Oryctolagus cuniculus: one gene and its partner. The protein of the gene in region 1 interacts with the protein of each later gene in a pairwise test. Links are inferred from orthologs where the notes say so. Each region holds a gene or a part of one and is shown on either strand. Other genes may lie near its edges. The genes, in order: GPS2 and SESTD1.

Region 1 (4,584 bases):
TGACAGGCAGAGTTAGACAGTGAGAGAGAGAGACAGAGAGAAAGGTCTTCCTTTTCTGTTGGTTCACCCACCCAATGGCTGCTACGGCCGGCGCGCTATGCCGATCCGAAGCCAGGAGCCAGGTGCTTCTCCTGGTCTCCCATGGGGTGCAGGGCCCAAGCACCTGGGCCATCCTCCACTGCACTCCCGGGCCACAGCAGAGAGCTGGCCTGGAAAAGGGGCAACCGGGATAGAATCCGGCGCCCTGGCCGGGACTAGAACCTGGGGTGCCAGTGCCACAGGCGGAGGATTAGCCTAGTGAGCTGCGGCACTGGCCAGCCTTTGGTATTTTTAAAGGTGCTGAGTCAATACTGTGGAAACAGAGGAAGGAGAGTGGGGTGAGGCGGATGGGAAATGCTGATGCAGCAGCCACATTACAAGGGGTCATCTCGGGGCTCACGGTGCCTGGGGTCAGTTCCAGGCTCGCTCCTGGCCCCAGCCTCCTGCCGATGCAGACCGTGGGAGGCAGCAGTGATGGCTCCAGTGACTGGGCTCCTGCCACCCCTGGGGCAGACCTGGATTGACCTAAGCTCCTGGCTTCAGTCCTGGCCCAGCCCTGGCTGTTGTGGGCATTTGAGGACTGACCAGCACATGGGAGCTCTGTCTGTCTGTCTCGCTGTCTCTGCCTCTCAAATCGGGCGGGCAGGGTAGGCGTCACAGGAAGGGGAAGTGAGGGTTGTGGCCGGACAGGCTGTGGGAGGCAGAGCCTTTGGGGTAGACAGAACAGCTGGAGCTAAGGCCTTTTCCTTGGAGCAAACCCTAAGTGTGGCTGGGGCGGAGGCCTCACTCCCGTTTCTGCTTCTTGCCCGACAGATTCCGGGACCCCAAGTCTCAGCGGACACACCGGGCTCAGGTGGCGTTCCAGGTGTGTGTGCGCCCTGGCTCCTACACCCCGGGCCCCCCTTCCGCTGCACACAGAGAACCTCCGGACCCCCACTTCGGCGCGGCCGAACTTGAGTGGGTCACTAAGGAGAAGGGGGCCATACTCCTCTATGCCCTGCTGGTACGGGTGGAATGAGGGGCGAGACCCCACTACTACAAGCACAGCTGGGTCTCGGCCCGCGGACTCCGAGTGACGCCTGCCTCCACCTCATTCCAGTGACTCATGGCATGCACAGGTGCTCAGTGTTGGCAGATGCGCAGGAACTGCAGTGTAGACAGGCTCTCAGATTCAGATGGGAAGTGGAGCACACCTCCGTGTCCAGGGGCCCAGAACACTCCCTCTGATGGCGGGGAGCTTGCGGGGAGCCCAGCTCCGGGCCCAGGGGACCCCTCTTCATGCACTGATTTGGGGAACACGACTCCCTACTACTCCCCTCCCCCATATCACTTAATTTATTTCCGTTTTTGTTTCTGGTTACTGTGAATCCCAGGAGTCCCCCTGTGTCCACATGAAGCTGCTTTTCCGGGGGCCGGCGGGCGGGCGTGGGCCGGGCGGGCACGAGGACGACGGGGCCCTCTGTACAGTTGTTACTGACTGATTTCTAAAGAGCCAATAAACGCCCTCTCCTAGCATCCGCTTCAGCCTCTCTGTCCCCGCCGCCCCGCGCCGAGGTTTGGGCGTCGCGGGCACCCGTCCCAGTGCACTTCCGCCTCTCCCTCGGCCAACCCGCGAGGCCGGCCTCCGCCGTGACTCCGGAAGCACTCGGCCCGGCCGCCGGATGTGACGTAGCGGGGGCCGAGGTGCGCCGGGGCCGCGGAGAGAGCGCCGAGAAGGCGGGTAGGGAGGGGCGGGCGGCCCGGGCCGCGGAGGAGAGCGGCCGGAGCGTCCAGCCGGGACCTTGGTGCCGCCGGGGCGCGCCGCGGAGCGGGGTCTGTGGCCAGACCGAGCGAGGGGCTCCCGCCGCACGTGACCCGGACGGCGAGCGGGCCGGGCGGACGGGCTTCCGCCGCGGCTGGCCACGGCCCCCACTGAGCTCCCGCCTCCCCGCAGGCCTCATCCCGAAGTCTGGCAGTCACTGACATAGCCGGGCGCCCACGGCCCGAGCGTCCCCACCGGCACCATGCCCGCGCTCCTGGAGCGCCCCAAGCTTTCCAACGCCATGGCCAGGGCGCTCCACCGGCACATCATGATGGAGCGGGAGCGCAAGCGCCAGGGTGAGCCGGGCCGCAGTGGGAGGACGCACGCCCGGGGTGTCTGCGCTGGCCCAGGGTCGGCCCCCGCCCACGGGCCGACCCCTGCGCGCGAGGCCGAGTTAGAGGAGGGAAGGAACACCCCCACGTCGTGCGGGGAGTTAGAGACCTGCTCCCAAGCTCCAGGGAAGGACCTTGGAGAGCACCTGATCAAGCCGCCCTCTGGCTGTCCCGTGGCGGTGGAGGGAGCGTGCAGGAGCCTCGGGGTAACTGGCGTGGCTAACGTTGGGCTCCCCCCCCCCCCTTCTGCAGAGGAAGAGGAGGTGGACAAGATGATGGAACAGAAGATGAGGGAGGAGCAGGAGAGGAGGAAGAAGAAGGAAATGGAAGAGAGGATGTCCCTGGAGGAGACCAAGGAGCAAGTACGCACCGCCACCTCCCTGCCCGGCTCCTCCCGCGGCAGCCGCGCCTCCATCCTCTCCTTCCCCCCCAGATCCTGAAGCTGCAGGAGAAGCTTCTGGCCTTGCAGGAGGAGAAGCACCAGCTCTTCCTGCAGCTCAAGAAGGTTTTGCACGAGGAAGAAAAACGGAGGCGAAAGGAGCAGAGGTGGGATCGGGGAGCCGAGAGTGGGAACGGGGCCGGCTGCACCGGGGCGGGGACAGGGCACTGGTGCTCGATGGCGAGGGGCTCCTGTGCTTGGCTCTGACCTGCTTTCCTTTCCCTCCAGCGACCTGACCACGCTGACCTCGGCTGCCTACCAGCAGAGCCTGACGGTGCACACGGGAACTCACCTGCTCAGCATGCAGGGTGAGGGCTGAGGGGCCCACCTGCCGGGCAGGGCAGCCCCCCACTCCAGCGTCACAAAGCTGCTCTTCCTTCCTAGGGAGCCCCGGAGGACACAGCCGCCCAGGCACCCTCATGGCAGCTGACAGAGCCAAACAGATGTTTGGACCCCAAGTGCTTACGGTGAGAAAAGCAGGGCGAGTGGGCCCAGGCCCATTGCCCTGCTACACCCACCCTGGCGTACTTGATGTGAGAAGCATCCCAAGCACACCTCGCGTCTGCAGAGCTCGCGAGTCCGGAGTTTGTGTTCCAGTTTCCATGGAGCTCTCGTCCCCCCTCCCTAGACCCGGCACTACGTGGGCTCCGCAGCAGCTTTTGCAGGGACACCAGAGCACGGGCAATTCCAAGGCAGTCCTGGCGGTGCCTACGGGACTGCCCAGCCCCCGCCTCACTACGGGCCCACCCAGCCAGCCTATAGTCCCAGCCAGCAGCTCCGAGGTGAGTGCTAGGGGGCCCCTCCTGGGAACCGGGAAGGAATGCTGGAGTTCTGATGCCGGTGCCTCTTGCCTTTCTCAGCACCGTCAGCGTTTCCTGCAGTGCAGTACCTCTCTCAGCCTCAGCCACAGCCCTATGCCGTGCATGGCCACTTCCAGCCCACCCAGTCAGGTGACCAGGACACCCACTGGGAGCCCTAGCTCCAGCCCCTCCCGTCCTCACTCTCACGTCATTTCACACGCCCCTGTCCCCCACTTAGGGTTTCTACAGCCTGCTGGTGCCCTGTCCTTGCAAAAGCAGATGGAACATGCTAACCAGCAGACTGGCTTCTCAGACTCTGTGAGTACTGGGTCCTGGGGTGTGGGTCAGGACTGTGAGGAGCCCTTGGGGCAGGGGGTGTGGCGTTAGGACTGTGCAAGGTTAGCCCTGCACACCTCAGGTCCTGACTCTGTTCTCTGCAGTCTTCCCTGCGCCCCATGCACCCCCAGGCTCTGCATCCAGCTCCTGGACTCCTTGCCTCCCCCCAGCTCCCAGTCCAGATGCAGCCAGCAGGAAAGGTAAGGGTGGTGATCAGCAGGGAAAGGTCAGGACAAGTGGCCACGACCCCCGCCCTGCTCTGCCCTGGGATGCTTGTCAGGGTCTGAGTGGGAGGGAGAAGGGGCCACTGACAGACCCCTCCTGTCACTCCACCAGTCAGGCTTTACAGCTACCAGCCAGCCCGGCCCTCGGCTCCCCTTCATCCAACACAGCCAGAACCCACGCTTCTACCACAAGTGACCACCAGAGAGTCTCTTCAACCCCACCACGGGTGAGGGTCCCCCTTGTGTGTCCCAGGCCAATAAACTCTACCTGCCATGGCCCTGCTGCTGCTGTTTGTGTTGCCCCCACCCAGCTGTGGGGCATTCCACGGCTGCCTGGGGGGAGGGGGAGGCTGGCAGGTCCACAGCAAGTCCAAGTGATGACAGTTGGTGACAATGAACCCAGAAGCAGAGTTCAGTTTATTTCTGGCTTCCAGGTACACTTTCCAGTCAGCAAGTAGCCATTCAATTCAAGTAAGCAGCTGAGTTGGGTGCTTCATATTAAACTTGTAGTTTTATTCAGGTTTGATTTTTAACAAATGTGTCGGGGAAGAGAGCCCGCAGGAAAAGGGTGAAGCCCATGGGGGCAGGGCCTCCCAGATGCCTGAAGAGGGGG
Region 2 (4,290 bases), on another chromosome or scaffold:
GACCCAGTGGATGGGAGACCTCGCTCTCTCTGCCTCTCCTTCTCTCTCTGTGTAACTCTGACTTTCAAATAAATAAATAATTCTTTAAAAAAAAGATGATCCTAGAGGACAAAGAGCTGTATGAAAGAGAAAAGAGTGTTTCCTTTTGGGGTGCGGGTGAACACGTGGCTATGGCAAAGTGGAGGGATATCAGGAAAGACTCCAGAGAGAAATGGAGCCTTGAAGGATAGCTGGAGCTCACGAGGCTGAACCAAGGATGGACTTCGGAGGCGGAGAATTCTGTAGGCAGAGAGGGAGCTTGCAGAATCTGTGGGCACCGCGTGGGCGTGGCGTTGGAGTAGCTGGCGAAGGAGCTGAGGAGCCCTGCGGATCAGATTATAAAACACTTCAGATTCTGTGGAAATGAGCTTGCACCTGCTTCCCCCTCAGAGGTGGAGAGCGTCCCAAGGATGCTAAAGAGAGAAGCATCACGCTGCCTCCGTGTTTTTGGAGCATTCTCCACCGGAGAACGGAAGCAGAACTTAACTTAGGAAGGCTTGATGTAAAAAGTGGCCAAGAGGTTAAAGTATGGGACAGACTGCTCCTCACGAAATTAAGAGGAAAGAGTCATCCTTGGGGTTTAACATCAGACGACCTCAGGAGGGAGAAGCTCGCTTGCCCAGCTGTTGGCGAGGTTTTATCCGGGTTAATTCGGTGAGATTTAAGGGAGTGGTAGAGTGGGTATCATGGAAGGCCTGGGATTGGGACCACATGGCTGTGATTTTCTGTGGATCAGCGGTGACTCGGCCGAGTTCAGGAAATGACATAAAAGTGATCTGTGCACTCAGAGGAGGAAGAGGTCTCTGAAGTTAGTCCATTTGGAGGAAAAAAACCCAAGGGCTGCTAACCATGGGGAAGTAGCCATGATCAGAAAGCCCCATTTGTGGCTTCCTTTCGGACTGTCCAATGGGAAGATCCTCAAAGCCCAGTCGATGTCCACACCGCAACCCTTTCCTCCCCGCCGCCTTCACCCGACTCAGCCACGCCGCAGCAGACCCCCTCTTCCTGGCACCTCCTGGCGCTGGGTACCTGGAAGCCAAGAATTCCAACAAAGTGAGGCTGAGGACGTTGGAATTCTGAAGCTGTCGGAGACCCTACACTCGAAGACACACGTAGCTCAGGATGAGGTCAGAGGAAGCAAATACCCTGCGAGGATGCCGGGCAGCGGGACCTTTCGTAAGCCCAGGGCTCCTGACCCCAGGACTCCTTCTACCACCCCCTCCCCCTCCCCCCGCCTCCCGCCACCTTCCCGGCCGGACGCTGGCCGCTCCGCGAGGGGTGGGGACCACCCGGAGCGTGGGCGCCCCCCCCCCACTCCCGCCCAGCCCCCAGCCGCCCGCCGGGCTCCCGCCCCGCCCCCTGTCCGCGCCGGGCGGGGTCGCCGCGCCGCAGCCGCCCGAGCGCGCGCGAGGTCGCGCGGACGCGGGTCTGGCCGCGGGTGCCGGGAGGTCGCCGGGCCACCCGCGCCGCCGCCGCCGCCGCCGCCCCCCGCCTGACGCACGGAGGGGCCGGGACGCGATTTGCGGCGAGTGACTGGAGCCGCCGCCACCCAGGCCCGCTCCGCCCCCCAGCCCGCCTTCCTCCCGCCTCGCCCTCCGCCTCCGCCCGCGCCTAGCCAGCGTCCCCGTGTCCTCCCCGAAGCCCCGGAGCCGCCGGCCGCCAGCGCCAGCGCCAGCACCGGCCAGGTGAGTGTGGCCCGCCTCGCGGCCGGGCGGCCCAGGCGGGAGGAGCGCGCAGGCCCGGCGGCCGGGCGGCGAGCGCGAGGCGGCGGGCCCGGCTTTCTTCGCCGGCGCGGGCCGCGGGGCGGCGGGGCCGCGCGCTGAGGGAGGGGCGCCTCCAGCCTGCCGGCCCCGCTGCCCTGCGGCCGCCCCCGCTCTCCGCCCGGCCGCCTCCGCAGACAAAGCGCCGGAGGTGGGAGCCCGCGGGCCGCCCCTGCTTCTTGCGCCTCCTGCCCGGGAGCGGCAGCGGCCCGCAGAGCCCGAGAGCCGGGGCTGCGCGCTTCTCCCCTCCTGAGCGCCCTTGTTCCTTTCGGGGTGAAAGGGACCCGAATCGTGCAACAGGTCTGGGCGTTAATCCTTATTTTCCAGCGGGTCTCGCCCTCCCGGCGTGCTGGGAGCAGACGCGGCGCCCGGCTGCGGGGCGAGTCCCCGCGTCCAGCGCCCGCGGCGGTTCCTTTGTGTGACCGGTGACCAGTCCTGCCCGGTGGGTGGGGGACACGGGCGCGAGGCCCCCCGGGCTGAGCCCAGGCTCCTGGATGCCTCCCTCGCCGCGTGGGGCTTGGCTTCCCCGGGCCTGCGGGAGGTTACCGGAGTCACAAAGGGGAGGGAGGGAATGGGTTGGCTGGGATCCATGGCTCTCTGTTTATTTTTGATATTTTAGGTAGCCTCGTGTTCGGAAAGAGCCGCAGCGTGGCCGGCTCCGGAGGGTGCGGGTGGGATTTCAGCGTGGGACGCAGGGGCTGGGCTGGGGGCTGCTGTGTGTGACAGCCCCGTGCAGCGTGCCCCGAGGGTTTTGACATGTCTCCCGGAGACCCAGACATCCCCAGAAGTTGGGAGTAACTGGATAGCAGCTGCTTGACAGGTCATCAGGTTAGGTGTGTGCCAGGCGTGCCCACCGCGCATCCCAGCGTGGCTTGGCAAGCCCTCAGAATATACACGGAGTACTCCGTGTGGGAAAATCTTCATCCATAAGGGGCTTTTTGTTGGCGTGGTCAGTCCTGATTTCTTGGTGTCAGAACCCACCAAAGAACAGTTCGTCTTTGTTTACATAGCCTGTGTCAGGCCTTACCTAGCTGCTTTCATGGGTGTGCTATTTTAGTATAACAATACTAAATAGAAGGAAGATACCTTCGTTTTTGCTTTGAGCAAGAAAATGCTTCTTTGTTCTAGAACCAGGAAGCCTTTAAACTTATTACTTTCTGTGGACAAAAGTTGGTGCCTGTCTTTACCCCATGACTACACTATGAAAGAATTCCCAAAGGACCTGGAAAGCATTACACAACTCTATTGATTGTTTTTATTTCTCAAATTCCAGGAAATCATTTTGCTGAATATTTATTCCAACATTCTAGACTAACCTAAAAATTCAGGCCTGCCCTTAGTAAGTTCCCCAACATTAGAAAAGTGAGTTGATCACATTTAAAGAGTTCGCAGAGTCCTTTCCTCTGGGCGTAGTGATTGGAAGGACTCATTGACAGACAGATTAGGATCTAGTCAAGTACCAGGAATCTATCAGCAGAGTGCAGGGGACAGAAAGAGAGGGGAGAAACTAACATCTACTTGGGTTTTAATTCATTGATGCTTAATAACTCTTTAAACAGGAGATCTTACTAATGAGGTATCTGAAAGCTAAATATTTGCTAATTAAAAAATAGAAAATATCACATGTGCACAGACTCCTTGAAAAGAGCATTTCTTTTGAAGAAGTAAAATTATACTACATCTGATTTGTAGGAAGTTTCTCTGAGAAGGTAGTGTTTACTTCTCTAAACATACTGTTCATCTGTGAAATATCTTACTTCAAAGAGCTTTTATAGCTGTTACAAGAAACAGGAGTGGCCTCTTGAGAAAAGCAGGGATATTCACTAATAAAAAGTAGCTTAAGCTTAAACTTCCATAATAGTTTTATTTGAGATATAATTTGGTGTGTCATAGAAGTCACTCTTCTAAAGCATACAGTTGGTGGTTTTCATATAGTCACAAGACGGTGCAAACATCAGCGCTAATTTAAGACCATTTTCATCACCCTGAAAAGAAACCTGTGTCCACTGGCTGCTGTTTCCTCTCCCCTGCACTTGGCAACCACTGATCTGTTTCTGTCTACGTGGTTTTGCCGGTTTCGGACATTTCATATAAATGGAATCATACAACATGTGACCCTTGCATCTTTCACTTAGCCTCATGCTTCCAGTGTCCATCGGTATTTTAGCATGGGTTGATGGTGCATTCCTTTTTAATGGCAGAATAATATTCCATGCTGTGCCTGTGCCACATTGTATCTACCCATTCATCAGTTGATGGACATTTGATTTTTCACTTTTTGGCTATTATGGATAATGTAAACACTCATTTACAAGTTCTTGTGTGGGTAGATATTTTCATTTGGGAATATACTGGGGTGTGGAGTTACTGTGTCTGTGGTTCCTCTAAGTTTTTGAGGAACTGCTAAACTGTTTTATGTTTTCACCAGCAATTCATGAGGGTTCCATTTTCTTTCCATCCTTACCAACACTTGTTACTGTTTGTCTTTTTT

The links.
Region 2: the proteins of GPS2 (region 1) and SESTD1 interact in binary tests that used the Homo sapiens proteins (3 or more experiments, as listed by UniProt). The two-hybrid records come from large-scale screens. The link is inferred for Oryctolagus cuniculus from reciprocal best matches to the Homo sapiens genes GPS2 and SESTD1.

What each region holds. Positions count from the first base shown.
Region 1 is NC_091448.1:51,915,309-51,919,892, reverse strand, and holds the start of GPS2 (G protein pathway suppressor 2), read left to right. Parts: upstream 1-1,554; intron 1,555-1,607; exon of another isoform or gene 1,608-1,851; intron 1,852-1,972; 5' UTR 1,973-2,042; coding exon 2,043-2,136; intron 2,137-2,424; coding exon 2,425-2,534; intron 2,535-2,605; coding exon 2,606-2,718; intron 2,719-2,839; coding exon 2,840-2,919; intron 2,920-2,995; coding exon 2,996-3,078; intron 3,079-3,239; coding exon 3,240-3,393; intron 3,394-3,471; coding exon 3,472-3,561; intron 3,562-3,649; coding exon 3,650-3,729; intron 3,730-3,829; coding exon of another isoform or gene 3,830-3,851; coding exon 3,852-3,947; intron 3,948-4,083; coding exon of another isoform or gene 4,084-4,087; coding exon 4,088-4,429; 3' UTR 4,430-4,584. Other genes in the region: NEURL4 (neuralized-like protein 4), read left to right, coding at 853-1,057. UniProt on the Homo sapiens protein: Key regulator of inflammation, lipid metabolism and mitochondrion homeostasis that acts by inhibiting the activity of the ubiquitin-conjugating enzyme UBE2N/Ubc13, thereby inhibiting 'Lys-63'-linked ubiquitination.
Region 2 is NC_091434.1:61,871,679-61,875,968, forward strand, and holds the start of SESTD1 (SEC14 domain and spectrin repeat-containing protein 1), read left to right. Parts: upstream 1-1,437; 5' UTR 1,438-1,724; intron 1,725-1,961; exon of another isoform or gene 1,962-2,099; intron 2,100-4,290. UniProt on the Homo sapiens protein: May act as the primary docking protein directing membrane turnover and assembly of the transient receptor potential channels TRPC4 and TRPC5.